2 linked regions of the Arabidopsis thaliana genome follow. The protein of the gene in region 2 purifies or fractionates together with the protein of the main gene of each other region. This does not show direct contact. Each region holds a gene or a part of one and is shown on either strand. Other genes may lie near its edges.

Evidence for each region.
Region 1: the proteins of CDKE;1 (region 2) and AT1G14810 purify together in Arabidopsis thaliana (affinity purification with mass spectrometry, with the first as the bait; one large-scale study listed by BioGRID). This does not show direct contact.

What each region holds. Positions count from the first base shown.
Region 1 is NC_003070.9:5,101,758-5,106,528, forward strand, and holds AT1G14810 (semialdehyde dehydrogenase family protein), read right to left. Parts: upstream 3,094-4,771; 5' UTR 2,877-3,093; coding exon 2,316-2,876; intron 2,204-2,315; coding exon 2,117-2,203; intron 2,016-2,116; coding exon 1,971-2,015; intron 1,876-1,970; coding exon 1,780-1,875; intron 1,684-1,779; coding exon 1,582-1,683; intron 1,547-1,581; exon of another isoform or gene 1,425-1,546; coding exon of another isoform or gene 1,395-1,424; exon of another isoform or gene 1,245-1,394; coding exon 1,090-1,244; intron 1,009-1,089; coding exon 927-1,008; 3' UTR 802-926; coding exon of another isoform or gene 681-801; 3' UTR 667-680; downstream 1-666. Other genes in the region: AT1G14800 (Nucleic acid-binding, OB-fold-like protein), read left to right, coding at 681-801; AT1G14820 (Sec14p-like phosphatidylinositol transfer family protein), read right to left, coding at 3,480-3,641, 3,730-3,840, 3,926-4,043, 4,131-4,167, 4,406-4,664.
Region 2 is NC_003076.8:25,462,553-25,467,769, forward strand, and holds CDKE;1 (cyclin-dependent kinase E;1), read right to left. Parts: upstream 3,371-5,217; 5' UTR 3,171-3,370; intron 2,611-3,170; 5' UTR 2,506-2,610; coding exon 1,093-2,505; 3' UTR 810-1,092; downstream 1-809. Other genes in the region: AT5G63620 (GroES-like zinc-binding alcohol dehydrogenase family protein), read right to left, coding at 3,828-4,012, 4,135-4,312, 4,394-4,535, 4,629-4,842, 4,930-5,023, 5,108-5,177. UniProt on the Arabidopsis thaliana protein: Involved in cell differentiation. Required for the specification of stamen and carpel identities and for the proper termination of stem cells in the floral meristem.

The sequences.
Region 1 (4,771 bases), on a different chromosome or scaffold from region 2:
TCTTTTTGGCTAATTCGCGAAGAGACGTTGAAAAGTGAAATCTTCCCCAAACCAAAGAGTAGTTTCTAAGATTTTAACAGAGACACAAAGAGAAAAAACAAATGGGCGGGTTCATATTGGGCCAAAATTAACAATGGCAACGATGTGTAAAATAACTTCGTCGTTAGTCTCTGTTCTTCGCTATCCTCTGCAGCAACCGCTTAATGCGAGAGAGAGAGAGATTTCCATTGTATTTTTAATTTAAAATAAAATATATAAAAACAAGACCAATGTAACAAATGCATTGCTTAGATATATATAACTCTAAAAAATATTCTTACAAGATAGTAAGTTTGGTCTATTATCCTATAAATTCTAGCATATAACCGGTAACAACATGAAAAAAAAATGTAAAACTATACATAGATTACAAAAATGTAGAAATCAAAAGATAAGATTAGCAAATAACAAAGATATTCCCTTTTTAATCAAAGATCAGTAAAAAAAATCGAAGTGGTTAGTGCATACTAACAAAACCAAAAACAAAACCAAAAACAACGCGGGTCTCCTCCCTAGTCTTAGTAACGAAGGAGTGATTTTAGGATTTGATAATATCCACTAAACAAGTAAATATTTGCTATAACTATCAATAAAGTGGGCCCCCACTGGTTCAGTCTTCAGTGTGTCAAATAATTGTGGAGCCCGGTTGTCTTCGGTGAGATCAACCAAGTCGGTACAGATTCGAACCGGAAAATTGCCAAGAGGTTCAAGCGTGTGCATGATGAGTTCAGATTTAAGAGACAACTTTATGAATCAAAGTAACAAAATTGGTCAAAATAGAAAACTCACAGAACAAAAAATGAGACAAATTCTTGGCTCAAATCTAATAATACAGTGATCTCTTTGTCAAGAATTTCATAAGAAGCAAAGTGAGAGCGGGTTCAAATTCAGAGAAGCATCTCAGCGATCTGAACAGCATTCAGAGCAGCTCCTTTGCGTATTTGGTCTCCACAAACGAATATGTCCAGCCTGAATTCACAAAGTTATATCCTTTTAGGCATATCGCAAAGACATTTGCTTCAAATTCAGTAGAAAAGAGTGAGACTTTACCCGAAATTGCCATCTTGAGACACGTCTCGCCTTATCCTACCAACCGCTACATCGTCTTTGTTAGAGACATCGAGTGGAGTAGGGAAAGTATTTGAAGCACGGTCATCTATTATATAAACTCCAGGTGCTTTCTTCAGTATCTCCCTTGCTGTGTTCTGTTATGATACAGTAAGAAAAACCGTTATAACCTGAATAAGAACTTGATCATAAGATTCTTTTAATTGCGCAACAAGAATCACAATACATGCTACCAGAGCAAGTCCAAAGAACAACTTCAGGGTTTAACTCTGCAAGTGCATCAAGAACTATCCAAGCCTACTTATGCTGATTACATGCTGCTCCACATTTTTCAATGGCTTGAGTTAAATTAAAACCATAGAATGTGGTTTAAAACTTCAAATTATGATTCAAATTGTCATATCAGTGAGTGAAATCATAAGGTAACACAACAACACAGAATCAGTAGAAATCGGGTTCGACGTGTGTTATTACCTCATCAAGAGGATTCTCAAACTGAAGATTCACACTCTCTGCATGAGCACGCATAACTGGAACACGTATACACGTTGCTGTTACTTTTACTTCTGTGTCATTCTGTGAAGGGCAAGAAATTGGTGTGAGATATCTAAAATTTTTGAACAAAAGATCAAAGTGAAATGAACACAAAATAGCACTTAAGTAACCACTCACCCAGATCTTCCTTGTCTCCTTCACAAGTTTCATTTCCTCTTCGTTGTAACCGTTGTCAAGAATAGGAGCATTATGTGAAAACAAGTTAAATGCATACTGCAGAACAACATACAAAACCATCACATTACTCAAAAAGGGATTTCATAATCAGCACATTCGAAATACAAACTATAAGCAAATTAAGCACTCACCTGCTGCCCGAAGATGTTACAAGTCGGAGGTTTACCCTCTAAAACCTAAGAAAACACACCAATGCAAAGAAGACGAAGAAGCAGAATCACAACTCAGCACAATCATTAAACAATTCAATCAAAGAAGGCTGAAATAGAAACAAAACCTCACGAGTCTGCTGAACAAGCTCTTCCATAGCTGCAGCACCAGCACCACTAGCTGCTTGATATGTACTAACCACCATTCTCTTCACCTATTATAGCCAATCAAACATTATTCAGAGCACTAAAGTCTAAAGCTTCCATTGATTCTCTAACTACCCTTCAAAATTTTGGACTAAGCAGATTTCAGAATAAAAATCGAACCTTTGCGTGATGATGAAGAGGCGTAACAGCCATCAAACAGATAATGGTGGAGCAATTAGGGTTTGCAATCAAAGCCCCTTTGCCCATTCCAACTTTGATCCCTTTCATTGCTTCTGGATTCACTTCAGGAATCACAAGCGGAACTCCATCAACCATTCTAAAAGCCGAGCTATTATCAACAACAATGGTTCCTTTCTCCGCCGCCAGAGGACCAAACTCTTTGCTTATGGATCCACCAGCACTGAACAAAGCTATGTCTACACCGTTGAAGCTATCCGCCGTGAGCTCCTCCACCGTGTATTCATGGCCATCGAAGGCAACACGCTTCCCTGCGGAGCGTTTCGATGCAAGCATCTTGATGGAGCTATAAGGGAAGTCTCGATCGGATAAGACGGAGAGGAATTCTTGTCCGACGGCTCCGGTAACGCCAACGACGGCGAGTGAAGGCGCAGATTCTTGGAGAGACATTTTGACTCTTGCGGAGAAGTGTCTAGGTTTAGCTCTGAGAGGAAGGCGAGAGAGGAAATGGGTTTGTGGGGTTTGATGAGTGAACGTCGCCATTGTCGCCGCCGTGAGGAAGAAGAAGTGAGAGACAGAGAGATAGAGAGATTTTGGAGGCGGCTGATAGAAAAAAGCTTGGGACTTTAAAGTGTGTTAGTGAATTGACCAACATCTTCAAAATTCAAAACAGCAAGATTGTTTAATTTAAGATACAGAAACAGCATGATGTTTGAAACTGCTCATTCACCAGATTGAGTATATTCACACAACTTTCTCATGTGTTTCATCATTTCTTCTTTTGGAAATATTAAGTTGTTGAAAAGTCTTTTGTCATATAACAAGGCTTAGGGATCATATTTAAGAGCTCGTGATTCTGGTTTTTAGCTCAAAGACATCTATAGCTAACTTTGGAATCTTACACGTACAACAAGAGGACATTAAGTTTCTAGAAGTTAGTCTGGTCTGTTGATCAATCCTGCTTTACAGCTTACTTATGATGTGAATAAGAAAAGATAAGCAAGAGCGAGCACTCAGTCACCAGATTGAATATATTCGCATTACTTTCTCATGTTTTCATTGCTTCTTTTGGAAATTTAGAGATGTACCACTAGTTATGTTCTGACCATTACAAATATTCAGGTTAATGCTTCCAAAAATAAAGAGCTAAACATTATTGTTTGTTAGAGTTACTGGAGCAGCCTGAGGAAGAAGAACATCTTGGATTGCTGTGAGCTTAGCTCGGCCACCGTACTCTTCCGGTAAAGCATCTGCTCCGATCTCCTCCTCGAATTTTCTCTGTTCTTCTCCATCCGTAACTATCACAATCTATGCAACAGCAAAATCATAATTTATGTGATTCGTTGCTCAAGAACCATTAGAGATAGATACATCAAGAGGAGATTAAAGATCAAACCTTTTCCTGAGTTGCTTTCTCTAGAAAACGGCAGACGAATTTCCAAACGGTCACGAAGAATCCGGGCATATGCAAAATGTAGCATTTTGCAAGGCGTTCCGGGTAGTAAGACTAGAGAAACATTTTCCAAATTTAATAGACAGGACTTCTTTTTGTGTGATAACTATATTGTTTCAGGAAGAAGGGAGATGCTTACTTGTAAGAATTGAAAGCCAGTGATCAATCCACGAGCATCAAGGTTCTTGTATGTAATGTTTGCCAGATCAATAACGGCTACTAATTTCTCACCTCCAACTTCTTTGCCATTGTTGCCACTGAAACATAAAAACCAAAAAGCTTGTCTCACAACCAACTAACCGGAAGATTATTGAAGTGTTTTGGTTTCAATAATGTGTAAACACCTTGCGATTGTTTTGTCTAGCGCATAAACAACAAACTCTGCAACATCAAACAGATAAAAGATTAGTTCATAGATAATTATCGCAAGAATCAACTCAAGGAAAACACATAGATGGACTCAAAAAACTTCATTCATTTGAAGTCAAATGAAACTACTCAATAATTAGAGAACCAGGAAAGAAGCTGATCAGTTCTATGAATACAAAAGTCACTGAAAGTCAAGGGACAGATTATTTCCAACGAAAGTAAAGGTCAGAAGCAAGTGAGAGGTGATTACTCTTGAAGTTAGCTGGATCCTTAGAAGCAAAATGCTTAGAGGTTATGACAAGCACCAATGGGTGTCCGGATTTGGTCGGACCCTGAAGACAGACCTTTCTGAATTCCAATTCATCCTGCACTTCTGACTCAGGGATGAATCCAGTTGGAGGAACCATGGAGGCTCTCCATTTTTGCCAATCTACAAACATCTTTGCTGCCTTGACTGGGTCCATTGATCTTGCCACCAGGAACCTCATCAATGTTGGTTTGTCATATCCCTTTTCAGAGGAAACAACAACAACAAAAACCATTGATGAGATTTTCTGATTATGGATTCACTTTTACTAAACTGTCTCTACTGTTAGGGTTTCTGATGGGAGGCTCA
Region 2 (5,217 bases):
ATTATGGCAACGTCGTGGGTCCATTGTGTATCTTTAAATCATAAACCGTCTCATAACATTGGCCGCCATATATTTAAGAAATAAGAAAAATACAAAACTAGCTTTCTGACTTCTGCTAAAGACAAAAATAGCTAGGTTTAATTAAGAAGAAACTGTGTGATTGTGTCGATCTTGGTAGGTCAATGCTTCATATTTATACTAAATTGCTTGCAAACAGTGAGTTTTATCTTTAGCAGAAGTCAGAAGTCTGTTTGTGACTTCCACGATGCAGAATCACGTACAGTTTGTATAGCTTGGTTCACACATTTCAGGCTAGTTCAAGGTTTGTGGTTTTCTTATCCACTTATTTATTGTATTTGTCCTGAAACAAACAAGCATATATATAACTCTTCTTCGTTCTTTTGAATCTTAAATAAAAGTCATAATAATAGAAAAACATTTCTCATTCATTTGTTTGTGTTGTATATATATAATATTTCTATTATGAAACTGATGGTAAGGTGAACAAAAACAAAATTTTGATTTGGAAAAGTATTATGTTCGTAATAATTGGATCACTGCTTACGTAGTATAATTGAATACAAGTTTGAAAACATTATTTTACTAAAGTATAATCTTTTCAAACTTTAATAGCAATGTTTAAACTGTGTGGTATTAAATATTCATTAGGTCTATGATTGATGATGTAATTACATTAGATTCTAATGTATGTTGGTGGTAAATAGATAAGACTGGCAGGTAAAAAAAAAACAAATTTCATAAACAGTAGAAACATCACCAAAATTGTGTTCATAATAACTGTAAATTGTGTTCATAATAACTGTCTCATTATATATATTTTTCACTTGGCAAATCTCCTATTTACTACGTTTTGAGAAATGATGTTAAGAGAAATGATGATCTAATATAATTAACAAATACTTGAGAGGATGTTTATACAAAAACTACAGAGAATCCAATCCATCCATATGAATAGCAACATTCCACATGCTGCATTACAATCTAACTCTACTCTATAAAGCAAATCGCAACGCTTTCTTCTGCGGCAAACACACAGATTCTAACCCGAGACTGATGATCTCGATTTTACCTTTAGAGGCGTCTGGATTTGTTAGGAGGTGCGTAACCTGACATACCCATTCCGGGATCTTTCCTTCTTAGCTGTTGCTGCTGGTGCGGTTGAGCCATCCCGCGCTGCTGCTGCAGCGGAACACTCGGGTTAAGCCCTGCCTGTGCCGGGAAATTATAAGCCATCATGCCTTGAGATTGCTGCATCCTCTGCATGTTATGTGCAACCATTGGTCTTGGCATCGATCTACTGCCCATTCCATGAGCTCCTGCCATGTTCCCTGCTACGTTTCCTGCTGCTACTGCTTGAGGCGGATTGATGCTTGTCGTGCCTTCGAAATCGGTGTTTGTATCTACTGGACGAGTTGGGTAATTCACATTCTTCTCCATCGGTTGGCTGGCTACAAATGCGTTCCGTCCTGGGAGAGGATCCATTCGGAAATACTCGTGTTCTAGTGCTTGTGAAGCCGTGATCCGCTTTAGAGGATCATATTCCAGCATTTTGGATAACAGATCATACGCAGGACTTTTCTGATTCAGGTGAACCACGTTGTGGAGACCCACACTGTCGTATTTGTGAGCTTGAATGTGTTGAACATCATTTTGCCAGTGTGGAAGGTTAACTAGTGTTGGCCATTTATCCATCGTCGGGTGGCCTAAGATCTTGAATATCTTGTCAAGTTGATCTAACTGGAAAGGGTTTTGAGACGATTTCGCTTCTGCTCCTTGAAACAACGGTTTAAGAGTTAGTAACTCCGCGAATATACACCCAACTGCCCACATATCAACAGCGCTCGTGTAGTGCTTCGAACCAAGAAGCAGCTCTGGTGCTCGGTACCAGATTGTGACCACAACTCCGTTATCCGATAGTGGTTTCAACGGAGCTTGATATATCCTTGCGAGCCCGAAATCAGCTATTTTCACTATTCCGTGCTCTTCTGCATCACCCATAACCAAGATATTCGACGGTTTCAAATCTCTGTGTATAATCCAATTACTGTGAAGATAGTTCAATCCGTTGAGAAGCTGCCAGAGCAAAGACTTAACTGTGTATGTGTTTAACGAATGGCCGACTTTGTCTCTGTGGTGCCTGATGATTTCATAGAGATCGTACTCGGCATAATCAAAGGCAAGATACAGAGACATGTCTGCAAAATTGATGTGGACATTCACAAGCTTCACGACGTTCTCATGGGAAATCTCTCTAAGCAACATGATCTCGCGGATAGCAGTCGGGGAAACTCCATCTCCATCTTTGGACTGCTTAAACTTCTTGATAGCAATAGGTCTTTTAGGCGGAGTCTTGGTTCTAGCCAAGAAAACAAGACCATAAGTGCCTTCACCAATCTTACCAACGAGATTGTACTGTTGCAGCCACTCTGGTTTCTCACTAGTGCTGTTTGAGCTGTTGGATCTACTGGAACTCCCATCTCCCATTGCTTTTTAGTATTATTCTCTACCTCAATGTCCTTACCATGTGAATCGGAAAAGGGGTAGAGTCTAACAAAACAAAACAATCTTGGTTTCCTCTTTGTAGTTCTCCTGAAATTTGAACAAAACTTTGGAAAATCAGCCAAAGGAATCAAACCGTACATGTAATCTATCTAGATTCTAGACTCAATCAAGTGATCCAGAAAACTTACAAGCAAGAAACTTCACAGAAAAAGATCTAGGACTCCTCACAAACCAAATTCCAAAAGGAACGTTTCAAAATTAGCAGACAATAAAATTCACATCCCTCAGAAAACTTCATATGAACAAATTCAGACACAAAGACTCCAAATTATCAGCAATTGACGTCTTATCAAATCTCATATTCAAAATAGAATTCATCTACATCGAGACACGAAAGCTCGAGACTTTACTTCAAAAGATGGAAAAGGGATCAATCAATTCAGCAGAAATTACCAAGCTCCAAAGACCAATAACCAGAGGAAAACCCTACAAATTCAATACCCAGAGCTACGGTGCCCTAACCTAATCAAAGACCAAAAAATTTCGATACCACTTTCAAATTAAAAACTTCGAGGCCTTATACGATCTGTTTTTACATTTCTCAAAAATCGACGATCAGGAAAATAGAAATACGTAAAGGATCTGACCGGATAAGGCGGTCGGATGAATGATGGGAAGAGGAGCTGAGCTTGGAGAACCTCGGAGATGGAGGAGAGTAGACAAAAGCGAGAAAATTCCGGTGAGACGTCACGGAAGGGAGAAGATTGCGTTTTCCAGAAAACGGTGACGTTCCAAGCAGCCGACGCTGAGAATGGAAACTAGATTTGTAATTTTTTTAGCCACTTGCTCCAACTACGCTATTTATTTATTAGTAAATTCATTTATTTTTGTGTTCAAATAAGTAATTTCATTTAAATCATCGATATACATTAGTAGATTGGATATTTCTCATCAAAGATTTAATGATTTATAGATAATTTTATCAAAAGAGAAATAAATTGTGTTTTTTTATATATATGTCAGTTATTAATATTCTTAGAAAGTAGAAAATTGTGAAAAGAGGGAAGAAATTAAAAATATTAACAGTATAGAAAAACAATAAATGTTGGAAAGAAATGAAAAACAGTAAAATTATAAATTTTGTCCAGTTACTACAGTTTTTTTTTTTCCTTTTCACTGTCTAAACAAACACAAATATCAGATTAACAATGACCTTGTCTGAAGATTGTAGCAACTAAAAATAGACCTCAGTGAAACAGGTGTGAAGCAGTCATTCACAAACCAGAATCAAAAGGCTATATTGGTTATAGTATCTCAACAACACCTCGGCTCACGATTTTGCCTTCGTTGAGATCTTGAAATGCTTTTCCTGCATCTTCAAACTTGTATTTACTTGAGACTGCGTTTGTGAGATTGAAAATCCCTGACTCTGCCAATTTCACTACTTTAGGAAGATCCTGTCTTGCTCTTCCTCCATAAGATCCTATAACTTTTATCTTCACAAAAAATTGGAAAAACAGAACAAAAAGAGATTCAATATCATGATCTTAAAAGACAATCTCAGTACCAGAGACTTTCTTCTAACAAGGCCGAGAGAGAGAGAGTAAGAACCCCAAACCTTTCTACGAACAAGTCGATTTATGTCAATTTCTCCAACGGAACCAGCTTGTGAGAGTCCAATCATCACAGCTTTTCCACCATCTTTCACACTTAGTGTGCACTGCATGAAAGTTTGAGGCTTTCCCAAGGCTTCAACAGCAACATCAACACCCATCCCACCGGTTATTTCCTACGAAGAAGAAACAGTTTTTCATATTTATATCAATCAATGGTTCATCTTCACAAATAAGAGGTCTTGAATCAACCATACTCTTATCCTTTCAACAGCATCTTCTTTAGCAGCATTGACAATATGAGTAGCACCAAGTGTCTTGGCCTTCTGTAATTTATCATCCTGAACATCCACAGCAATGATATCCGAGGCTCCAAAAGCCCTTGCGATCTGCAAACAACTGAAGCAACAACTCAAAGATGGTTATGGTCATACAAGAAGCAATAAAACCCAAATCCGGTAAAGAAAAGAAAATGCCACACATTTAACATACCTGGAGCCCACACCACCAATTCCAATAACTGCAATAGAATCTCCAGGACGGATCTCAGCAGCATGAGCCATAGCACCATATGCTGTAAAAACAGCACATCCCAGAATGGCAGATTCAGAGTAGGGCAAAGACTCTGGTAGAGGAGCTAAACCATGAGCTGGTGTAACACAGTACTCAGCCATCCCTCCCATACTATACATATACACTGGTGAATCTGCCAGAAATTAAGAAATGTAATTAGGTAAAACAATCACAGTTCTCCTAATATGCCACCTGATGTTTAAAAAGTCTTCAAATTTACCATCATGTCGCAAAAAGAGACGAGTTTCGCCATCGTAAAGAGTTCCCTTGGCTCTGTTGTAAGCAAAGAAGTCTTCACATAGATCATCATGGCCCTGTATCCAAATTAAAATATCAGCTAAAAAGCTACAGTTCTCAGATTAGAGAATCCGATGAAAGCAATACAATTTCGTTCTCACCTTAGCACAATAAGAACAGGTTCCACAAGGCATAATGAAAGCTCCAACTACACGAGACCCGATTGGAAATCTGAAGAAAAGTTGAGACATTTAGGATTTCTTCAAAACAT